Linked DNA regions of Alligator mississippiensis. The protein of the gene in region 1 interacts with the protein of each later gene in a pairwise test. Links are inferred from orthologs where the notes say so. Each region holds a gene or a part of one and is shown on either strand. Other genes may lie near its edges. The genes, in order: ADAMTSL4, CFAP206 and FBXW5.

Region 1 (3,743 bases):
AGAACAATTTTTCCAAATATTTAGCTGCTCAAGTAAAAGATATCACATTTTCCCAAAGAACCTCACAGGCCTCTTTATTGGAAAGGTCATTAATTTGCTCTATCATACCCCGGGTGTTTAAAAAACCCAGCAACAGAGGCAAAAACAATACATTTTGAGAGCATGTCCAGAGCTTTACTAAAACTTTGTCCCCACGTCTCAGTTTGTGTTTTGAGCTAGAGGTAAAAACCAGTCAGCTGGGCTGCGAAATAAGAGCTCCGTTCCCAGGAGCACCTAACAGGCGGCAGAACTGCAGGAGAGCAGATAGCTTGATTAGCGGAGCATCGAGACAGTTTAAAAAGAGCGAGGGTCGTTAATACATGTCATGAAATGCTGAGAAGGAAGAGCCCAACGAGTCAAGAAGTTGTGACTCCCCAAATAGAAATGCCACTTCTACGGCCGGGTAGTTTGGTTTAAATTTGGGGTGCACGGCATCAATGCACCCCCTGCCCCGATCCACCCCAGCCTCATACAGCAGAGTAACTGGATAGTAAGAGACCAGCACTGCTGCGTTCAGCTGGATGGCGTCCACAGAGCAATAAGTTATTTCCAAATTAAAAAAAAAACAGCTGAAAAGGAACATCTGGAGTTAGCAAACTTCTAAGCGCCTCGGTGGGGAAAGGCTCAGCTGAGGTTGCTCTTCATCAAGCAGATGCTGGATTTTTCCCGCTTTTCTGGAAATTGGGGATTGCAGATTTTTCTTCTAAGGTGGGCAGAAAATGGCCCCGTTGTGCATGTATGTGTGTTTTAGGGGTGGGCAGCGGAGGTGGGGGATAAAAGGAGGAATTTTGAAGTCACTGAAACATGTCGCTGATAAAGACAGAGACATTTTTGTCCCCGGCGCGACCTTCTTTTAACTCTCTGCAGCGTTAGAGTTGCTGGACGGTCGGGCTTATTTTGCAAAGGCTCTTTGAAAGGAAAATTCAGAGCGTTTCAAACAGGTCAACCTGGCACGGTCCCAAAATGCCATGTTCTGGCTTGATAGCAACATCCCCCTTATCTGGACAGACGCAGGACTTTTATTCTCCCCTCCCCCCCCAACACACAACTGAAAGCATCCCCGACCTTCTCTGCTTGGGAGTTTGTGCATCTCATGCTTCCCAGAGAGGAGCCGGGTCCTGCCAGACGGTAATGGGGAACCCCAACCATCCACGCGTCTCATCTTGGGGGTCCCAAGGGATGTTCGGTTATTAGCTTCTGCGGGGGCTGGGCACAGGCAGCAGAATACCAAGGCCACCCAGCAGGTTAGTAGCAGATATGGGTCTCCTTGCTCTAGCGGAGACCCGGGATGAGGTCCCTGGATGGCATCAGGGGGCAAAAAGGGGTATTTGAGCCCCTGTCTTCCAGCCCCCTGGCGTGGGGGGGAGCCTGGCCTGCTGGGGATGAGAGCCAGGCCTGGGCTGGTGCCAGCAGTTCATGCCAAGCCCAGGGAGCTGCATCTCTGCCATCGGGAGATGGTTGGTTTCAGGTTCCTGCTCCGATCTGGGCTGCCAGGGGCCGGCGGGAAGGGGAGAGCAGAGAGCACCTGGGAAGCCATCGTGCTCCTGGCCTTCCCCCAGCTGCTCATGACCCTGGGGAGAACCGTGGGGCCGGCAGGGCTGCGATCCCGGGCCCAGCAGCCAGTGCATCTCAAGGGACCTCCAAGAAGGGGGTCTGATCTGGGTGTCACCAGGCTGGGAGCATGTTACTTGGCCTGGTTCCATGGGGAGCTCTTTGGAAGATGTCTCTTGCCCTGCATGGGGCCTGCAGCTCCAGCCGCAGTCTTGGCTAGCGCCTGCAGGACCCCTGCCAAGTGAATAACCTGCCACGCTCACCCCGTGGGCCAGGGGCTGGTTCCTTGGAGAGGCCAGAGACCCTGGAGGGGGGGTTTCCCAGGCCCTGGAGCAGTGGGGGGCAGGTGGGCCGCAAACACCCCTGCCCACCCTGAGTGGCACTCCAATGCCCTTCTCCTGCCCAATGCACTGCTCTGCTCTCTGCTCCCCGTGCTGTCCACCGCTGTGCTGCCATTCCCCACCCCAGGGGTAACTTTCTCCTGTGCCCGTGAGAAGCAGAGCACTGGGCTGCCGGATACCTGGGTTCATTTCTCCCCCCAGTCTGCCAAGTGAGCTCGATCCAGTTCTGTCCCCTGCTGCGTGCTTCGGTTGACCTAGGTGTGAAATGGGGATAAGAGCACTGACGGCTTGGGGGCGAGAAGCTGCTCTGCGAGACCCAGTGCGAGTGGGGGGATCTGGGCTGAGGGTTTATGAATCGTTTCCAACTGCTCCTCTGTGCACCTGGATTCAAAGGGGCGCTCGTCTATCTGCTGCTGCCCCGGTGGCACTTCACCTGCCCCAGCTGGGCCCTGTGCTGCCCAGTGCAAAGCCGCAGGTTGCCTCTGCTCCCAGTGGGAGCCCGGATGCCTGGGTTGTCTCCTGGTTCCTCCAAGCAGCACCACGCGAGCTGGGACAAGCCCTGGGCCTGATCTGCTCCATGGGGCTGGGGAGAACCAGGGACAGGGCTGGGCCGGGGCCTCCTCCAGACCGGGGCAGGTCAGGAAAGGCCGGAGCCAGCACAGCTGGGCCCTGCCGGGAGGGGCTATTCATGGGGGGACTGTGTGTCTGCCCTGTAGGCTGGGGGGTCTTCCCCACAGATTGTGTGTGCTCCCTGTAGCTGGGGGTCAGGTGTGTTCCCTGTCGATCTGTGTGTGCATGTGTGTGTGTGTGTGTGCGTGAGTGTGTGTATGCGTCTTCCCTGTAGCTTGGTATTGATGTGTGTGTACACAGGTGTGTGCATTCCCTGTAGACTGTGTGTGTGTGCATCTCCCCTGTATGGAGACAGCGTGTGCATCTCCCGTGTGTATGTTGTGTGTGTGTACTCTGTAAAGCTGTGTGTTCATGTGTGCATGTGTCTTTCTTTCCTGTACAGAGTGTGTGTGCACGTGTCTTCCCCGTAGATTGGTATTGATGCGGGTGTGCACAGGTGTGTGTGTTCCCTGTAGACTGTGTGTGTGTCTGTGCATCTCTCCTGTACAGAGTGTGTGTGTCTCCGGTATGTTGTGTGTGTGTTCCCTGTAGAGCTGTATGTTCGTGTGAGTGTGTGCGCGTGTGCGTTCTTTGGAGAGAGAAAGTATAGAGAGTGTGTCAGATAGGGTGTGCAAGCTGTGGGTCAGTGTGTGTGTGTCCCCCAAGCGCGGGGTCTTCTCGGCACAGAGGCAGTGGCGGTGCCGGTGCGGGCCGTGGGAGCCGCCCGCGGGGCGGGGCGGGGCGGGGCGGGGCCGGGCCGGGCCGGGCCGGGGCCGGGGCCGGGGCCGGGACGAGCCCACCGCGGCGGGGCAGCGCGGGCGGCAGGAGGCGGAGCGGCGGCGGCGGCAGGAGCCCGGGACGGGACCCCGCGCCCGGCCGGCCCGGGCAGCGCCGGCAGCAGCAGGTAGAGCCGGGGCGGGAGCGGGAGCGGGAGCGGGAGCGGGATCGGGGCCGGCCGGCGGGCGCGGGTGTCTCGGCGGCACCTGCCACGTGTGCGCGACCTGCCCGGGCCGGGATCGGGGCCCCGCGGGGCAGAGCCGCCCGGATCCCCCGGCCGAGGGGCATTGGGATCTGGCCCCCCGGCCAAGAAATACTAGGATCCGATCCCCTCCCAGCCAACAGACACCGGGATCTGATCCCCCCCCTCCCCGGGATCTGGTGTCCCCCCAACAAACACTGGGATCTGGTGCCCCCCTCCCCAGC
Region 2 (3,743 bases), on another chromosome or scaffold:
CCCCACTCTCAAAGCTTACGTGTTGTTTATGCCTTTAATGTTGCTCTTTTTGCCACACGCAAGAGCAAGATTACAGGCACTGCTGTGCCAGGAACTACTGCTGCAGTTTAGGTAGGTCCCTAGCAAATGATTCCCTCACTTTCATTACATGCTGGTGAAAGACCTTCATTTTGTTAATTTTAAACCTACTACCTGCTAGTTTCCTTTCTTGACCCCTTCTCCTTGTATTAAGACACCAAATAATAAATCCCTACTTACTTTCTCAACCCCATTTTCTATTTCGTAAACCCTCATCACAGCCCCCCTCAAGCCTCTTTTCTAAACTGGCCACACCCAGCCTCTTTGGTCTCCCTCCTCATGTGGAAGCGCCCCCCCCCCCCCGGCCCTTCTCTGGCCCCTGGCTCTAGTTCCTCTCTCCTTCTGTGAGGCGAGGGGCCCAGAGCTGCAAGCACCTACGCTGGACACTTTCAAGAAACATTTGGGTATCTATTTTGTTGGGATCCTTTGACCCTGGCTGACTTTCTGCCCCTTGGGCAGGGGCCTGGACCTGATGATCTTATGAGGTCCCTTCCAGCCCAAACGTCTATGAAAACTAGGCACAGCAGCATTCACGGTGTGGACGCACCAGGGATTTATAAAGGAGCAGGATGACATTTGTGCACAAGTTCCCTCTGAACGATCCCCAACACCTTGTCTGCCTTTCTGAGGGCTATCATCAGCGCCCTGCCCACGATGCCTCCCCCCTCTCCTGTGAGGCAACAGCTAAGGTGTAGCCCACCACTGTGTCGCTTCAACTGCAGGAAATATGCAGAACTCCTGACAGAGGCGAGATCTGTAACGAGACCAAGTAAACGCTTGCAGCGGAACCTGCCTGCGCCCGCCCTCAGCCCTGCTCTCTACCAGGCAGCTGCAGAGCGCGGGCACCGCCCACTGCCACCACCTCTTGGCTCCGCCCCCTGCCGGTGCCCCATTGGCTCTTAGCCCCTGCTCAGCACAGAGCGCTGGGCCGCCCTCCCCCCGCCTAGCCACGCCCCCAAGGCGCCGCGGCGTTCTGTCTCCATGACAACACCAGATCGGCGCGTCCTGGCGGGGCCGGAGGCGGGTAAATGCGCGGATTCTCCGGGCTGCGGTTAGGATTGGGGAAGGGGGCACCTGCGCGCGACCCCCGGGCCGGTTTGGATTGCCCCGCCCCCCCCAGCAGCTGTCCGCGTGGCCAGTGTGAAGCAAAGCGCCCCCTGCATTGGAAGAGGCTGCTTTCGGGGTTCCGCGCACGCGCGGAGCTTTCCCTGCTGCGCGTGCGCAGAGATACCTTCCCAGCCCGGGGCATGCGCAGGGGGGGTGAAATTTTCATTGCGCATGCGCAGCGGCTGCTGGCGTAGTTGTGGGGGTGGCGGGGAGCGCAGGCTCGCCCTCATTTACATTTTAGTTCTATTAATTTTATAGCCAGGTCGATTACTGTAATTGTATTAATGCTCAGAGGGCAGGAGCTCCTCTGAGCCTGTGACAGAAGTGTTAGCGCCTCCTCTGCACACAGCAGGAGCTGGTGTTCATTACTTATGCCTCAAAGACTCTCATATCCCCTCGTTCGTGACAGCTGCGGCCAGTGGTTCCAGTGTTGCACCCAGTAGAAGGGGGATAATGGACAACTGTGTCAAGTTGCCCATTGACACCGTAAGGGCAATGGTCAGATAAGTGTTATTGGGTCAAACAGTTGAAATGGGATTTGTGTATCACAGCTGTATCCACCTTATGAATTCTTTACCAAATCCCGTCTTCTGTAATGCGCAAAAAAAGTGCTTCTAGGAAACACAATCAAAGGCCTCTACATCAGGTGCTAGGAGAGCCATAGGGACTTTGCAATTTTGTACTTCTGCTAGTATAGCATTAGCCTGATGTATGTTGCCTGAATCATGACTTTTTTGATCATGTCCACTCTGCGCTCCCTTCTCGCCCCTCGTGATAGACCCCCCCCCCCACTTGTCAGGGATGCTGTCAGAGGCTCCAGTGAGATTCCCCGTTTCTCCAGCTCTGCAGAAACCTCCGCTGCCTTCAGAAATGCCACCAAGTGATTTCCTTTTCTGGCCCATGTTGGTGTGAACCACAGGGCCTAGTCCTGGTCACACAGGATGAGAGAGATTTCTCCTGTCAGGTGACAGCAGGATGTCTGATCCAGTCTTGCCCTGTGCTCCCTGTCCCCTCCAGAGCCCTTCCCTTGTTGTTGGGGTCTGGGATGGCATGGAAGGGGATGTCGGTTGCACATGCTCTCGAGGTTTGTGGCCTATGGTGCAGGGCAGATTACTAGCAGTGGACCATGGCAGTAAAAGGTTGCCAGGCCTGTAATAGATCCATTTTCATCTTAAATAGATTTTGTGTGGGGTTCAGAGATATTTTTTCCCAAAATAAGAACATTTTCCTCCCAGTGAATTAATCAGAATACTCACTACATAATAATAAAGGGCAGTGTGTTGGTCCCTGGTCAGTGTCCGCTCCAAGCAACTGAAAATGGAAAGAAGGAGAATGGGAGAACAGAAAAAAAAAAGAATAATGAAGAGAGGCAGGCAAAATTGTTTTATATGCTACGTTTGTATATTTTCCCTTTTGCATTTTGTTTTTCATACAATTTCTTTCCGCTTGGAAATACTCTTGTTGCTTGCGTGCCACTGCACTGTAAATCACCTCCGCTGCCTTGTCAAGCTGTTAGTAAACACTTGGAAGGCTGAGAGGTCTTGCAGAAAACATGTAGTCTCAGTAAAGGTTGCGGTGGGACAAAGAGATGATGAAAGACGCATCTGTCGTGTATTATGATGAAACCTGTTACTGTGCTGTTTGTCTAGAATGGCTCACGCTGAGGCTGAAAGTGTCATTAAGAACATCATCCGTGAAATAGGACAAGAATGTGCCATCAAAGGACAAACTGTGCCTGAAACCTTGGTGGCTTTCATGGTAAGAGCAAAATGAGTATTTTAGCCATGCATTAACCTGTTAGCATTATTTGGATCATGTTAACATCCCTCTGAGATTAGTGACATTTTCAATGAGCAGGTACAAAGATTTAGCAATTGAGCATATCGCTCTTAAATTTTATACTTGGGTGTCTATAGTTAGTCATCTAGATCTGTTTTTTAGACGTTGATCCTGCAAAGATTTAAATTTTACTTGCTGTAACACCCCCTGTGTCTCTGAGACTACTTGCAATGAATGATGTTAAGCAAAGGACTTAAAATTCCTTGGCCTTAATGCTCAGAAGAAGAGAGCTTCAGTAGAGCTAGAAGTGACGTGTTGTAGTCAAGAGCTTCATTGATTTGATATACTTATAAAGGAGTTTTTGTGAAGTGCTTATTCTGGGCATAGGACTCTATAGTGCACAATGGCACCAATTACTGTAAACAGTTATAAATACGTGTGAAGTCACTCTTGTTTAGTCTCATTGATCTATGGCGGCAGAGTTTTGCAGCTGTGAGCTGGGGCAACCTGGCTCATGTCTGAGCGAAGTCATTGTCCCAACCTGGCTGCTGCCACCACCACCATTGCTTTTCCTTGTCCCTGCTTCTCCCTGCCCCCTACCCTCCCATGGCAACTAGGGATGTAAATATTGTTTACAAATTATCCATTTAACCTCCTCTAAGTATACTGGTTAAACCGTTAACTGATAACATACACCTAGTCCTGGCCAAGGGTTGTGGAGCCCCGGGCTGGAACATGCTATGCCACACCCTGTAGTGCGGCACAGACTACAGCCATCT
Region 3 (3,743 bases), on another chromosome or scaffold:
CAGCATATTTCTATTAAGCTGAACTAGCACTTTTGAAAAGCTAAAAGTTAAGTAACAGTAACATTATGTTAGCAAAACCTTACACAGTAGAAGATACTTCTCAAGGACACAACCAGTAAGCTCAAAACAATGGTTTCTCTGTCTTATCTTACTTCTTGCTGTAGCTGATTTTTTTTAGCGCACAGACACAGATTCACTTTTTAACTCAGAAAATGCTTGTTGCAGTTAAAATGATTACTTGACACAAGCAAAGGCCTAGCTATCATTCTGCCTTGTGGTCAGCTGCATTACTAGGCCACAGGTCATGCCTTGTATTCAGCTGTAAAGCTAATACTTCTTAAAAATCCAAATTATTGTAAACCTAACAGTATGCTTTCAGAAAACTATTCTATTTTAGGGTAATGACAAACCTGCGGACTACAATTTCAACCACTGACTCTTAGGTGGTTGGATCTGGAGTCATTTTGATGGTGTGAGGATCACTTTACATGTGTGGCTGGTCTAAACCTATGACACGATTCACCTGTCCATTGTGTCACAGATGTAACATGTAGCAGGCATCGCAGGCAGATGCACAACTGCTATTAACCCCAGCAAGAGGAAGGGCTGCCACGGATCCAGGTGCAGCCCTGTACTCTGGGCAGGGCGGGGCTAAATGCGCCCAAACCCCCTGCTGCGACTCCATGAGCCTGGCCAGCTCCTGACAGCTCCCAGGCTCCTAGCGCTGGTGCAGTGGCAATGAGCAGGGCCCTCATTTCGCCGCTGGGCGCCAGCCTGGTTCTCCCTGCCACGGGGTGCAGCTCCGGGAAGGATCATGTGCTGGCTCTTATTAGCTCCCGGTTAATCAATGCAAAGTATTTTGCATACCGAGGTCTCATTTGCATAAAGCATCACCTATGGGGCAAGCCCAACACAGCAGCGCCAGGGCTGGCTGGGTGCTGGATGTTGGGTAGTGGGTACTGGGTGCTGGACACTAGGTGTTGGGTGCTGGACGCGGGGTAGAGGGTGCTGGACACTAGGTGTTGGGTGCTGGACGCGGGGTAGAGGGTGCTGGGCGCCGGGCGCCCGCCTGACGCGACACCTCCCGCAGAGGGGCAGGAACACGTGGAGGTGACTGGAGAAACGGATGATGCCGAGCTCTACTCGCCAGGCCTGGCCGGGCGGCGCTCTGGGATGAAGCCGTTAGGCCTAGGGGATGGGGCGTGGCTGCGGAGCACAGAGAGGGGCTAGAGCGGCCAGCACAGGCCGGAGCGGAAGTGAGGCGGGAGGGGCCGGAAGCGGCGTGCGGCAGAGCGCAGAAGCAGGAGAGGAGAAGGTCTCGCGGGGGTGGGGCGGGCGGTACCATCGGGGCGAGGGCGGTGCACGAGGCTGCCCCCCCACCCCCGGTTGAGATGGTCCGGGCCGCGTGAGGGCGGGGCCAGCCGGGACCCTAGTGTAGACGCGGCGCCGGGTCCGAGCACCCCCGCGCTTCCCTGCTCCTCGCGCCGGCTCCGGCCCCCGGGGGCGCGGCCGCCCGGAGCCCGGTTTCCTGCAGGTGCCTGCCCGCGGCGGCCGCTCGCTGGGCGCGGGGCAGGCCGGGGAGGGGAGCGGAAAGCAGAGCGGCGGGTGGGACAGGAGCGGCAGGCCGGACTGGGGCGGGGCAGGGGCAGAAAGCAGAGCAGCAGGCCAGGGCAGGGGCAGGGGTCGCGGTGGCACTCGGGGAGGCTGCGGGTGCGGCCGGTTGCCCTCCAGTGCCCCCGGCGGCAGGGCCAGAGCTTGCTGCTGCTTCCCCAGGACTCGGCGACACGACCGGCCTCGCTGGGGTCCCGGCTGCTCTCGGCCCCCACCGGCCGTCAGCCTTGCACCGAGATTCACCTCTTAGTGTTGGAGCAAAAGGATCGGCGCGTCGAGCAGCAGCAGTTGCTGCTGGCGCTTTCTCCGTGGGGCTCGAGACGCGTAGCGCATTTCGTAAACACAGTGTGTGCTCCTCGCCTCCTGGCAGAGCAAACGCATCCCAAACGTCTGAGCTGTGCTGGAGTCTGGGTGCCAGGTCCGTAGGCAGCGCTGCTGCGGGCTGACAGCAGGACGCGCTGCTCAGTGTCAGGCCGCAGACCTCTCGCGCTCGCCAGGGAAAGTGGCAGCGTAGCAAGCTCGGTCTGTACGTGCTCCCCTGTGCCTGGTCTGCGCGCTGCGCGACTGGCTGGTGTTGAAGCGGTCCACAGCCAAAGCCTATTAGCTGTCCACTGATTTAAAAGGGAAGGAGGAGCTGTTTTGGGGGGTGCGTGTGAGCTGCTATGCTCTGTCACTACAGGAGCTGCAAGTGGTCAGCGTCACTAATGTTAACTGTGATCAAGATGGCGTTAGAGTTACGAGGACGTGGCTGTAGGAGCAGACCCGCCGAACCGCTCCACTAGGCAGCTTCCTATAGGCATCAACGCTGCCTCCGTTTGCACCCTTTGTTCAGCTCCGTGCTTCACGTGGTTCAGCTCACTGCTTTCATGCTGAAGGTCTCGCTTTCAAGTCCTGCTGGTGGACCGCACTGGGGGTCACTGTGCACAGGACTGAAGTCAGGCACGTGCCCGATGCTTCGTGTTCATGTGCCTCCAGACATAGGACCATGGGGGCTGCCACATGTGTGAACTTTTTTCTTTATTTCAAAAAAGCTTCATCTGCATGAGGGCAAGTGAAGAGAAAACTGGTCTCAGGTTTAGTTTAAAACTGCCCTCCCCAGCCCACCAATGCTGTTTTCCTGACAAGTGTTTGCAATTGGAAACATGACTGTTTAAAGTGGGTACATTTGCCTCTGCCTGTGAGAAGCCGCGATTGCTTGCTTTGCCTGTGAGCGTGCTTGCTCAGGCATGGCAGCCTCCCTGTTCTGGGCAAGTGTCTCCCTAATGATATGCTAGGCAGGTTGGTGGAAACTAACTGCATTCCTGTGTCTCTCCAGAGTCCTTTGGTGACAGAATGACACTATGGATGTTGGGGGTAATCCCCTTCTCCCTGACAGCGTCCTCTATGAGATCTTCCTCTACCTGGACCACGTAGACGTGCTCTCAGCAACACTGGTGTGTCGGCAGTGGCACGCAGTGGCCCGGGATGAGTTCTTGTGGAAGGAACTATTTTATCGATACTACCGGATTTCTCGGGAAGTGCCGCGGCACCCAGGTCAGGTATCTTTAATTGTGCGCTGTAACTGCTACAGGCAAAGCCACCCAACTCCGTGGCCTCTGCTTGTGGCTAACCCCCATCCCCTCCTTGCTGCCTTCCGATTCCCAAATGTCTCGGCTTGTGTGTTGCAGTCGCTGTTTCCTGGTACGATGAGTTCCAGAGACTCTATGACACCATCCCGTGCGTTGAAGTACAGACCCTCAGGGAGCACAGTGACCAGGTCTTGCACCTCAGCTTCTCCCATTCTGGCTACCTGTTTGCATCCTGCTCCAAGGACTGCACTGTTAAGGTAAAGAAGTAGCCGGCTCTTGTACTGGCTGATTTGTTTGTTCACTTGTACCAAGTGAGGTAGGCTCAAGCTTTGACTCCAGCTGTATAAACTTCTGTCAAGCTGTTGTACCCTGATCTTCCTCTTCTTCCTCCTCCTCCCTTTCCTTTGCTGGGAGCTGATCTGATTGGTTAGTATAGTGAGGCCTTTGGATCAGGCACTGTGGAGGAGATGCTGCAGCTGAGACGTCTTAGCCTCCATAAAACACAGGAGAGGTATAGAAGTCACAGGGCTCTGAATATATGGGGCTGTGAGCTAACCGGTTTGG

The links.
Region 2: the proteins of ADAMTSL4 (region 1) and CFAP206 interact in binary tests that used the Homo sapiens proteins (3 or more experiments, as listed by UniProt). The two-hybrid records come from large-scale screens. The link is inferred for Alligator mississippiensis from reciprocal best matches to the Homo sapiens genes ADAMTSL4 and CFAP206.
Region 3: the proteins of ADAMTSL4 (region 1) and FBXW5 interact in binary tests that used the Homo sapiens proteins (3 or more experiments, as listed by UniProt). The two-hybrid records come from large-scale screens. The link is inferred for Alligator mississippiensis from reciprocal best matches to the Homo sapiens genes ADAMTSL4 and FBXW5.

Annotation. Positions count from the first base shown.
Region 1 is NC_081838.1:19,041,730-19,045,472, forward strand, and holds the start of ADAMTSL4 (ADAMTS-like protein 4), read left to right. Parts: upstream 1-1,148; 5' UTR 1,149-1,283; intron 1,284-3,332; exon of another isoform or gene 3,333-3,444; intron 3,445-3,743. UniProt on the Homo sapiens protein: Positive regulation of apoptosis. May facilitate FBN1 microfibril biogenesis.
Region 2 is NC_081824.1:75,399,381-75,403,123, forward strand, and holds the start of CFAP206 (cilia- and flagella-associated protein 206), read left to right. Parts: upstream 1-1,012; 5' UTR 1,013-1,106; coding exon 1,107-1,129; intron 1,130-1,368; exon of another isoform or gene 1,369-1,671; intron 1,672-2,834; coding exon 2,835-2,943; intron 2,944-3,743. UniProt on the Homo sapiens protein: Essential for sperm motility and is involved in the regulation of the beating frequency of motile cilia on the epithelial cells of the respiratory tract. Required for the establishment of radial spokes in sperm flagella.
Region 3 is NC_081835.1:50,641,293-50,645,035, reverse strand, and holds the start of FBXW5 (F-box/WD repeat-containing protein 5), read left to right. Parts: upstream 1-1,227; 5' UTR 1,228-1,315; intron 1,316-1,321; exon of another isoform or gene 1,322-1,534; intron 1,535-2,926; 5' UTR 2,927-2,951; coding exon 2,952-3,144; intron 3,145-3,278; coding exon 3,279-3,436; intron 3,437-3,743. UniProt on the Homo sapiens protein: Substrate recognition component of both SCF (SKP1-CUL1-F-box protein) and DCX (DDB1-CUL4-X-box) E3 ubiquitin-protein ligase complexes.